2 linked regions of the Neurospora crassa OR74A genome follow. The protein of the gene in region 2 interacts with the protein of the main gene of each other region in a pairwise test. Links are inferred from orthologs where the notes say so. Each region holds a gene or a part of one and is shown on either strand. Other genes may lie near its edges.

Region 1 (4,336 bases), on a different chromosome or scaffold from region 2:
TGATGGATCCGCAAATTAGCTGCTTGGCGGTCGGTGTGACCCAACCCAACCCTTTTTACCAGGGGAACCCATGGCTCATCGAAGCGCCAAGATCTCCACTATCAGAGAGGGTGTTCATCGATTCCTGGTAGACCTTGCGCGATCACCCCGGATTTCACAAGCAGACAACTCTCCACTTGCACTCCGGACTGCGTTTGTGAGACTTCAAAAAAAAAATGTCTTATGGTTCCGCGCGGAAAGCTCAACCCCCAGAAATCGTGATGAATTCGGAGAGACGCTTGAGAGATGGTGAGTGCAAGCATTAGATGTGCCGAAGTCTCCCATCTTGATCAGTGAAGGAATAATGCTTTGCTTTTCCAAAGGTAACTGGATCTTACCTGCACCTACATCAAGACGAGGAAGAAGCCACTACGCCAATTTAACTTGCCCAACGTTTGGGGGCGCCGGTTGATATTGAACACTTGCTGGGATGGATTCGAGACCCAACGACACTGATCCGGCGGTGATCAGCTAAAAGATATGGAAGACTGGATGGGGAGACGAACCAAAGGAGACTAGAGATATTGAAGCAAAGTGGCTACTACACAGATATGGTAAGATCACTTGAGTATGAACTTCATTCTTTCCTACACCGTCTTGGAAATGAGAACTTACGTGCCATCACTTGTACGGACATGAATGGTTGAGGGAACAGGTAAGTCGTAGACTGACCGGCGATGCAAGTCTACGGCTGGTGGGAGGGTAGGTCCATATCGGTAAAGACAACGTTCAAGTTTGTGACAATCCGAAAGCTCATTTTTCGGAAGTATATTTGCTACCGATGAGCAACGCAAAAGCATCTCTGACCGAGTGGCGTCCAAACCGGGCCTAGGAACAGGGCCAACGCTCACTTCGCTGCCACATACATACAGTTCGAGTCACTGGACACGGGCATGGGTGAACCAATTATCAGGAATTCGGATGTGGAAGCTACACAGATGAATAATTCTTCATAAAGAGAGAGTTGACCGGGCGCTGAATTTGAAATACTTTTGAAAGATATGACGTTCAGCATACTCATCTGAGCGAATAGCGTAGGCTACCCCAGTCTGTACCCATGTTATAAACTGAGACGTGTGATTTAGAAGGCCGTGCTACCTTTTGCGAATGTCTCTTGTTCACCAGCGCCATCATCCCTTGCACTGGCTTGATGCCCCCACAAATTGTAAGGACCATCCAATCCGAGCGTCGCTTCGTATTCGATCGGTCCAGCCCAGCCGAAGCGGTAGACTTTTCCACCATTCCCAAAAGACATCCGAACCCGAGGAGTTGGAAACCACGCAGGCGAGCATGACGGCTTGTAAGTCGCCAATGTAGATAACCAGATGTGGTTGGTTATGACACATCTAGCCACACGGAGCAAGTACCACGTTCCGGCTAAAGACAATGGCTCTCCGTGGTACCACAACCTCTCAACTGTAGTTGCAAACCGAAAAGGTAGCCTGTTGTGTCTGGCCATGTTGCTCCGGTAGACCTAACCGCCAACAGAACTTACACCAGAAACAGTTGTCCCAAATGCACCTTGACGCCACAGGTTCTAACCCAAAGAAAAGCACAACCAAATCAAGCTCTTGCTTTCGGCCTCCTGGATGCGAGACCAGGGCCGCTTCTATACCCTGCCCGGTACAGTTGTCTTAATACTCCCAAACGCCTAATGATCATGCAGTTTTCTCTTCCCGGACGATAGAGTGGTCGGCTTTCCCGAATAGTTGATGATGAATTCTTCGACCGCTCGGGCATATTACATCCCCTGTTCCTCATTGCGTGTCTGCATCTCGATCTTCTTGACGTTGCGACCATCGGGAGTATACCTAGAGCGTAGTCAGCCACCAAGGTCCAGCGCGGCGAGTCCACAAGAACGTACTTGAGAAGCTTCTCGATGAGGTCGACGTGGGTCATGACCATGCGACGGCAGCAGTAGCGCTTGAGGCCGAGCTGATCCAGAGCATCACTAATCATCGTCTGTCAGTTGTTGTTATTTGTAAATCGAAAGTCGTTTGTAGATGTCGCATACCCATCGGTGATCTCCTCGCCATCGATCAGCTGCAGGTATCTCTCCCAGAGATCACCCACCACCTATGTGCCAAAGTCAGTAACCTTGTTAACGGGTAAATGGCGGAGGAAGCGGGGCGCGTCGCGTCGCGTACCTTGCCGCACGAAAAGCATCGGATTGGAATGATCATTTTTGTTAGCGAGTCGAAAGCCTACAAAAAAGTGTTTGGCGGGATGGCGATGTTCGCGGCAGATGAGCGACCGGCTTCTGGCAAGATGGTGGTGCAAGATTGGTCGTAGTGACGGTGCAAGTTTCAGCATGAACTTTGAAGGGCGAGGCGGCAACTTTACCTGTGAGGTCGGAAGGCCCCAGCAAATTTGACTTTCTAGGGTCTGATTGGTCACTTCAGCCTTATCACCGATAAGAAAGCTGCCCCACATTAACTTTTCGAAGGGTACTCCGCCAAAATTTCTTCTGCTGGGAGGATGAGGCGGACATGAAGCTCGGTACGACAAATCGTGTGTTCCTTGCCAGACTTGCATCGTCATATACTCAAAGGACAAGATGGTGGAGCTACGCACTCCTCGCAAGACCTCGAAGGCGCCCAAGATGGATGCGAATGGTGAAACTGCCTCGCTCAAGAAGAGAAAGAGAGAGCCCAAGGAAGAGACGACCGCTTCGCAAAAAAGGCAACGATCGAAACCAAAGACCCAGCCTGCTGCCGCCAATGGCAATGTTGACGATACTACCGACTCCCAAGAAAGCACCCTTTTCGAGAACAAAGACTTGCAAACGACCAATGGCGATTTGGAACTTACGGATGCTTCGAATACCTTGACGACGCGCAACACATCGGCATGGAAGGTATCGAATCCTATGGGCGGCCGCATGCTCGACATCGATCCCATATTTTCCTTGGATGAACGGTTCGTTTGAGACCAGTCCCCCAGGCAGGGGCTCTACTAATGCGACTTAGATACCTCCTTATCACCTACAACACATCAATTCAAGTCTATTCCACCGAGGATTCCCTGCTCGTCAGGAGGATCTCCCTTCCCATCACCAAGCTCGACAGCGGCGCCGAACTTTCTTCTCCCCACATCGTTGCGTCTGCGCTATCCGCCAGCGCACCCGAATTCCTCTGGGTTGCATGCTCAGATGGCCGCATCTGGCACCTTAACTGGGCGACAGGTGAAGGCGCCGAAACACCCTTCACGATTGACGTCAAGAAAGTCCTCGACATGACCGTCGAATCGGTTGATATCCGCGACAAGCAAGAAGATGTCCTGTTTATTCTCCAGAAGTTGACCAAGTCCTCGGCGCAAATCGTGGCCTACGACCTCAAGGCCCTCCGTAAGAAGACCGGCAAGCTTATCCACACATACGACGAGAACCCGCAATTGCTTCGTTCCGCTGCTGGTGGCAGACTCATTGTTGCTGCCGCGAAGGAGACGCTACACATCGGCACTTTGAAGTCCAAGGGAAAGACCGTCAAGGCGGTTGATGACCTCGAATACGCGTTCCACTCTTTCGGCGTGCCGGATTTGGTTACTTGCCTCGACATTCGCCCGACTCTCCAAACAACTAAGAAGGGTGGCACAGAAATCCAGTTCGTTGATCTCGTCATCGGTTGCGCTCGCGGTGCCATCTACGTTTATGGTGACCTTCTCTCGAAACTACCCGGCAGCGCGACCAAGGGGGGTCCTATTCAGCCCCGCAAGCTACATTGGCACCGCAGGGCCGTCCACAGCGTCAAGTGGTCTGAAGATGGTAAGAACTGGTGAACTGTCTCTGGGAGACGACAAAGTGCTGACAATTTGACAGGTAACTATCTGATATCCGGCGGTGCCGAAACCGTACTCGTTTTGTGGCAGTTGGATACCGGCAAGAGGGAGTTCTTGCCTCACCTTTCAGCAACTATTGAAAACATCGTCGTTTCCCCCAAGGGATCATCCTACGCTCTCCACCTCGACGACAATTCTGCCATGGTGCTCTCGACCGCTGAGATGAAGCCCACGACCTACGTTTCCGGCATTCAGTCTTTGGTTCTCAGCGACAAGCCATCGAAGGAGTCTCTGGTGCGCCGTGTCTGGAGATCTGTCGACGAAATCTCAACACCCTTGATCACTACCAGTAACCCTACCAACCCTTCACAAATATTCCTCTGCGTCGGCAATGGGCAGCAGGCCAGCTCGACAGGAAATGCACCGTCCACACCACTTATCCAAGTTTTCGACGTCTCCTCGTTTCAGGGCGTTAGCAAGCATCCCATTGCGCGCACCAACCCTACCGATACCAACATGA
Region 2 (5,253 bases):
TGTTGTTGATTCCGATTCCGATTATCTTTTATCAGTATGGAGAGAGGATTAGAGGGCGGAGTAGGGTGATTAGGATGATGAGGGAGGAGCAGGCGAGGGAGGATAGGAGGAGGATGAAAGGGGATAAGGGGGAGAGGGAAAGGAGGGGTGGTGGAATTGTAGAAGAAGAAGAAGAAAATGAGAAGGATGAGGAGGAAAGAAGGGGAAGAGCGGAGAGGGAAGGGGGGATGGTGGAGACGACGATGACGATGACGGGTGAGGGACAGGGGCAGGGGGAAGTTAGTGGGGAGGAGGTGGTTGTGCCTTTTGCTTTGACAACATCGGGGGTGTTGGGAGAGAAGAAAGCGAAAAAGATGGGTGATGAGGTTGTTTGATGTTGGATATCTAGTTTCGATGTATGAGTGGAAGAAAGAATGGGCATGATTTGGGTAGAAAGTTAGAGGTAATAAGTGATGAGCGTGATAATGAAATGAAAAGTGATCAAACTTAAAACAGGTGTGGCTCGATGCTTATGTAACAGTGATATTGATATGTGATGTCAAATATCCCCGGAGGCCCGGCAATCCCATCTTCCGTTCCTCTATTTCGTCCAGTCTCAAGTACTAATCACTTATCCACCATCGGGGACCACCTCAACCCGGGCCGGGCCCGATGCAAGGACATCAACTGAGACAAAATGAGACGAAACGTTGCGGATATTAGAAGATTCCTCTACTTACAGTACGTAACTCACTATCTGTTCTTTCGCGCCTTCCAGTACATAGACCCTTTATGTCTTCTCTACCTATCTTCTCTCTAACCTAAGAAGTAACTAGCCTAACGTTCGTGAGAGTGCAAACGCCTCCCTTAGAAAGGAGATCACTTAGGCTACAGTACTCCCCAGGATTCAACAAAGATCAAACTTGCAACTCGGTGACTTCCAAGGTACCCAATCTAATCAGAGATACGAAACAGATATCTTTGTCATGATTAGACTCCCTCCTAGGCAAGGAGGCATATATAGTAATGTCAAGTACAACAAGTCTTGCTTGGCCTGGTCGTATAGTGGAAATATGATTGAAGTATGTGACATACGGAAGTAGGACACTGTAGGAAGAGGAATAAGTAGTCTAGAGTACTTGGAGTGAAAGTGAGAGTGAAGTAACGGAAGGAAGAAATTAAATATCATGAGTTGGTCGGATACATCAGATACCTCTGTCAGGTTGATCATAGCCCGTCTGAATTCTCAACAACTGAAGTATGGACTCCCTTTCTAGAGGGTTGGGGTTTCTAGGGAGTAGGTAGCCACTGAAGATATAAATAGGAAAGTGAACCTAAATCGTGATTCAGCATGTCTAGAATCTAAGGATCGATGTGATATAGACTAGTTATTCGGTGGAAAATTGTGTTGTAGGAATAATGTACAGTGAAAGAAATGAAGTTCTTCTGCATGGGATATACTAAGTGCGGGTATGCAGGAAGAGACCCCGAGCTTCATAGGCGAGGTAAGCTGCAACCGACCCGACCAAAGGAGACAATTTATTTTGTGTACAATGTTAGGCCACTTGATGAGTATGAAAAATTGCAATTTGACACCACCAGAGGGGTATGAAACCTGGAAAATAACACCAACCAAAAAAAATCAGTGATCCGCCCCCATCGATCCATTTCCATTTTACCCTATCCCTTACCGGCCAGCCGGTCAGTCGGTCGGTGTCCCATCCCATCCCATACCCATTTCCTACTATACTACAAGGCACAAGTTTTCCACGACTCTTATCCATATTCTCTTTTTTTTCGTTTTCATCCAACCCCGCTCACAAACCTCTCCACTTCTCCTTCCACCCACCCTTCTCAAACAACCACATGGCCTCAATAGCATACGCCCTCACACTCACACTGCCCACCCCCTCCTCCACATCCGCCGCCTCCCCGATACTCTCCAACACCCTTCCCTCCTGAAAACACCTCCACAGCGCAAACGCCAAATCATCCTCATCACCATCCCTACCGCCCGCACCCGTTCCCCACTCCCCCTTTCCCAGACGATACAGCATCCTCCCCAGCGTCCTAAACGCAATGCACCTCTGACTATTCACACTACTCCTCGCCAGCCTCGCCAGCTCGGGGATCGTGTACCCGGCTGCCTCGGGCGCCTCGCCGTGGTGATGCAGGCCCTTGGACACGGGAATCTGGCGCGACAGACGGGGCGGGATGAGTCGCCCCTTGAAGTCGAAGCGGAGCGCCGAGACGGGCAGCGAGGTCTGGCCCGGGTAGTAAGGGGATTCCTGGTCGGCGGGCGAGTCTTCGGTGGGGATGGGCGCCATCCAGGCGAGCTTGGAGGGGTCGGCGGGAAGCGAAGGGAAGAACTTTTGGTGCAGGGTGGCGAGGAAGTCGGGGTCTGAAGGGTCGAGGTCGGGAGGGGCGGGGGCGGCGGGGAAGTGTACGCCTTTGAGCTCTTCGTCGTCGCCGTGGTTGTGGGAGGGGTCGTTGCATTGGTGCGTTGTGGTGGGAGTTTGGGGTTCGGAGGAGGAGCCGCCGGCGGTGGGCATGGCAAGGTCTTCGGCGGAGAAGCTGGTCTTTTGGGGGTAGGGCGTGGGTGGCTGTTTGGATCGGATGGGGAAGCTGCCGGAGGGAGGCTGTTCGGGGGCGAGGTCTTCGTTGAAGGTGACGGTCTTTTTGGGTTTCTTGGGTTGGTCTTCGGTCATTTCCTCATCTTCGTCTTGTACGTATGCGTTTTTCGAGCTCGAGGTCTGGATGGAGGGTGGCTTCTTGTAGGAGATGGTGGGACCGCTGCCGACGTCGGCCCTCTTTTCCGTTGGCTCCTCGTCGGCCGGTTTCTCGGGAATGTCCCAGACTTTGGGGTCGTTGTTGTTGGAGCCGTCCTCGACGTTGGCTCGTCGGAGAAGCATCTGGATAAGCTTGGGGTCAAGGCCACTGAAGAGCTCTCGTTGGGCTTCGGCAATCTCTTCTGGCGACATGGAGCTCAGGAGCTTGTTGTTCTCCTCGTCAATCCTCTGCTTTTCGGATTTGATAGGGTCCGCGTCGATCTGGGGCCTCGCGCCGCTGGTGAACTGGATGGCTGGTGATGGTACTGGTGTGGTCGCTTGGGATGACGAGGACGATGGGTCTGCTTGTTGCTGTCGCTGCTTTTTGAAGGCAGACACTCGTTTCTTGGGAGCGGGAAAGCCTCCGGAGGAAGCAGGCGGCGGCGTTGGGAACGCGGGAGGCTTGACCTCGCCCACTTTGCGTTCCTTGACATCGAGGATTTCGAGAGTGCCGTCCATTGTGTTGAGGCCGTTATGATGTGTCGCGGTCGTTTTGTATCTTTGTTATCGGCGTTTGTCAATCAGAGTTGAACGAGTTGGACTGTTTGGTTGATGGTGATGATGATGGTGATGGCGAATAATGGGGGATAATGTATGCGGCGCTCAAAGAAAGCCGTGGATGGAGCCGTGGATTCTCTTTGATACAGATTCGGTCATCCGGCATAAAGTTCAAAGAAATGCAACGAGGGGCTTCCTTCCCTTCAAGTTGCCTGCCGAACGAAAAGAATTGTCAGCGGCGGATCCCGGCGGCTTTAACGACCTACTATGTAAGCCAGCACTGCATTAGCGGCGATCCAAGACACGGGGAGTACACAGTATTCATGCTAGTATTTACAGTGCATTACCGTACCGTGCGCGGCTTGGGGTTTCATTTGGCCCCGTTTTCGTCGTCTGTTTCGCGTTTCGTATTCCGGAATACCAACATGCACATGGATTGTGGCCGCTGGTCCGATGGTCTCCAAGGGAAGAGATCAGCATGAGATGAGCTTGTTTCCGACATTCTCGTCGACTATGCCAAGTGAGCTCATGTCGATTTCCTCTTTGTCAGTCAGTCACTTGATGGCATCTTGGCGGCCGTGTGCTTTGTGTTTGCCGGGTTGGTGGTTGCGTTACATACCTACCTATGTACTGAGCGTGAGTGGGTGTCTTGAGATCTTGTCATTCGACGTTACACCAAGATAATGCGGCCAGGGCCTATCAACACACCGGCTGCAGTACGCACGCAGAAAGAGCGTAATTCGGAATCGCAATCTGGTGCTGTAATTTCATACCTAGGTACGTATTACCACTGCAAGCAGAGTGTGCCTTTCCCCGGCCCCAGGCTACACTATGAATTCAAGTTCTTCCAACAATGGAAATCGTAGCCGCGACGACATCATTTTCACTCCAAAGGTACGTTCGTGTGGCTGACCAGCCGAAACCAGCCGCATTGACGAGTGTGACGTACCGGCAACTGAAATTTGGAATGGCCACTGCACTGCAGAGTTCAGTTCAGTTTCGTCGCGGTTATTGTGTCGCTAGCCAAGTGGGTCGCACAAGCGCGGCTCCAAATGTCGCGCAGCATCCATCCAGAGAATCTGGAATCACGGTACGTACCGGTACGAGCGCTCGTACCTGACAAGGGGTCTGAGATCTTGGAGGTGGCCCGTGTGTCTTCCGCTTCTTATCGCATCTTGTTCATTGCGCTAGCACGGCGAGCACGGGGGACCCTCGTCTGGTTCGTACTGTGTTGTCCTCTTTTTGAGTCTCGGCTTCAGTTTCCTCGCTCAACGGGTGAATTCCCAAAAGTCAACCTGACATCAAACCGGCAGTTTACAATTCAAAACACTTTAGCTCTGCGGGCAACTTATCTATGAGGCAAGGTTCACTTTCATTACCTCGCTAGTTTTAAAGTTGAATCGACATCTCCTATTCTTCCCATGGTCGCCCGGTTAGTCAGCCGTGCAGCGGTGCGCGCCGTGTGGAGTCATGCATCACCTCCAACCCGACTTGAACCCCAAACGGATCGGGTCCAGTCACTCACAGCGGAGGTCACTTTTTCCCAAGAACCCCAAAAAGAAGCCCTGTGGCCCCTGCGAGGTGTTGCAGTCCAGTCGGCCGTCCATTGATGGGCCGTGGGAGTGTAACCTTGTTTCTCCATCTGCCCTTTCTGCCATTCCCATTGGTCCAAAATGCTAGCATCTCTTGGCATTTTCCTTTTATTCCTGTCTATCGCTCGCACTCGCTTCTTGTATTTTCCCGTTTCCCTCTCTCACAAGCCACCACCCGCACATGGATCGATGTCTGCTGCTACTAACTGCTTGGCATAAGTGATAAGTAGCAGCACTTGGAGTCTGTGCCTCCATTTTGCCTTTTCCTCCAAACCCCCCCACCCAAATGTCGTTGTTTCTGCAGTGCTTCTTTGGGTTCTTCCGGCCTGCCTAGGTACTGCCGTCATGAGGTCTGA

Evidence for each region.
Region 1: the proteins of NCU06859 (region 2) and NCU02605 interact in a two-hybrid assay, tested with the Saccharomyces cerevisiae proteins (2 studies listed by BioGRID). The link is inferred for Neurospora crassa OR74A from reciprocal best matches to the Saccharomyces cerevisiae genes RBA50 and RPB10.

Annotation. Positions count from the first base shown.
Region 1 is NC_026501.1:2,875,500-2,879,835, reverse strand, and holds NCU02605 (DNA-directed RNA polymerase I/II/III subunit 10), read right to left. Parts: upstream 2,320-4,336; 5' UTR 2,223-2,319; coding exon 2,187-2,222; intron 2,116-2,186; coding exon 2,054-2,115; intron 1,991-2,053; coding exon 1,904-1,990; intron 1,851-1,903; coding exon 1,781-1,850; 3' UTR 972-1,780; downstream 1-971. Other genes in the region: NCU02604 (hypothetical protein), read left to right, coding at 2,597-2,958, 3,009-3,802, 3,857-4,336. UniProt on the Saccharomyces cerevisiae protein: DNA-dependent RNA polymerases catalyze the transcription of DNA into RNA using the four ribonucleoside triphosphates as substrates.
Region 2 is NC_026507.1:529,923-535,175, reverse strand, and holds NCU06859 (hypothetical protein), read right to left. Parts: upstream 3,503-5,253; 5' UTR 3,267-3,502; coding exon 1,797-3,266; 3' UTR 1,349-1,796; downstream 1-1,348. Other genes in the region: NCU06860 (MFS multidrug transporter), read left to right, coding at 1-374. UniProt on the Saccharomyces cerevisiae protein: Forms an interface between the RNA polymerase II enzyme and chaperone/scaffolding proteins, suggesting that it is required to connect RNA polymerase II to regulators of protein complex formation.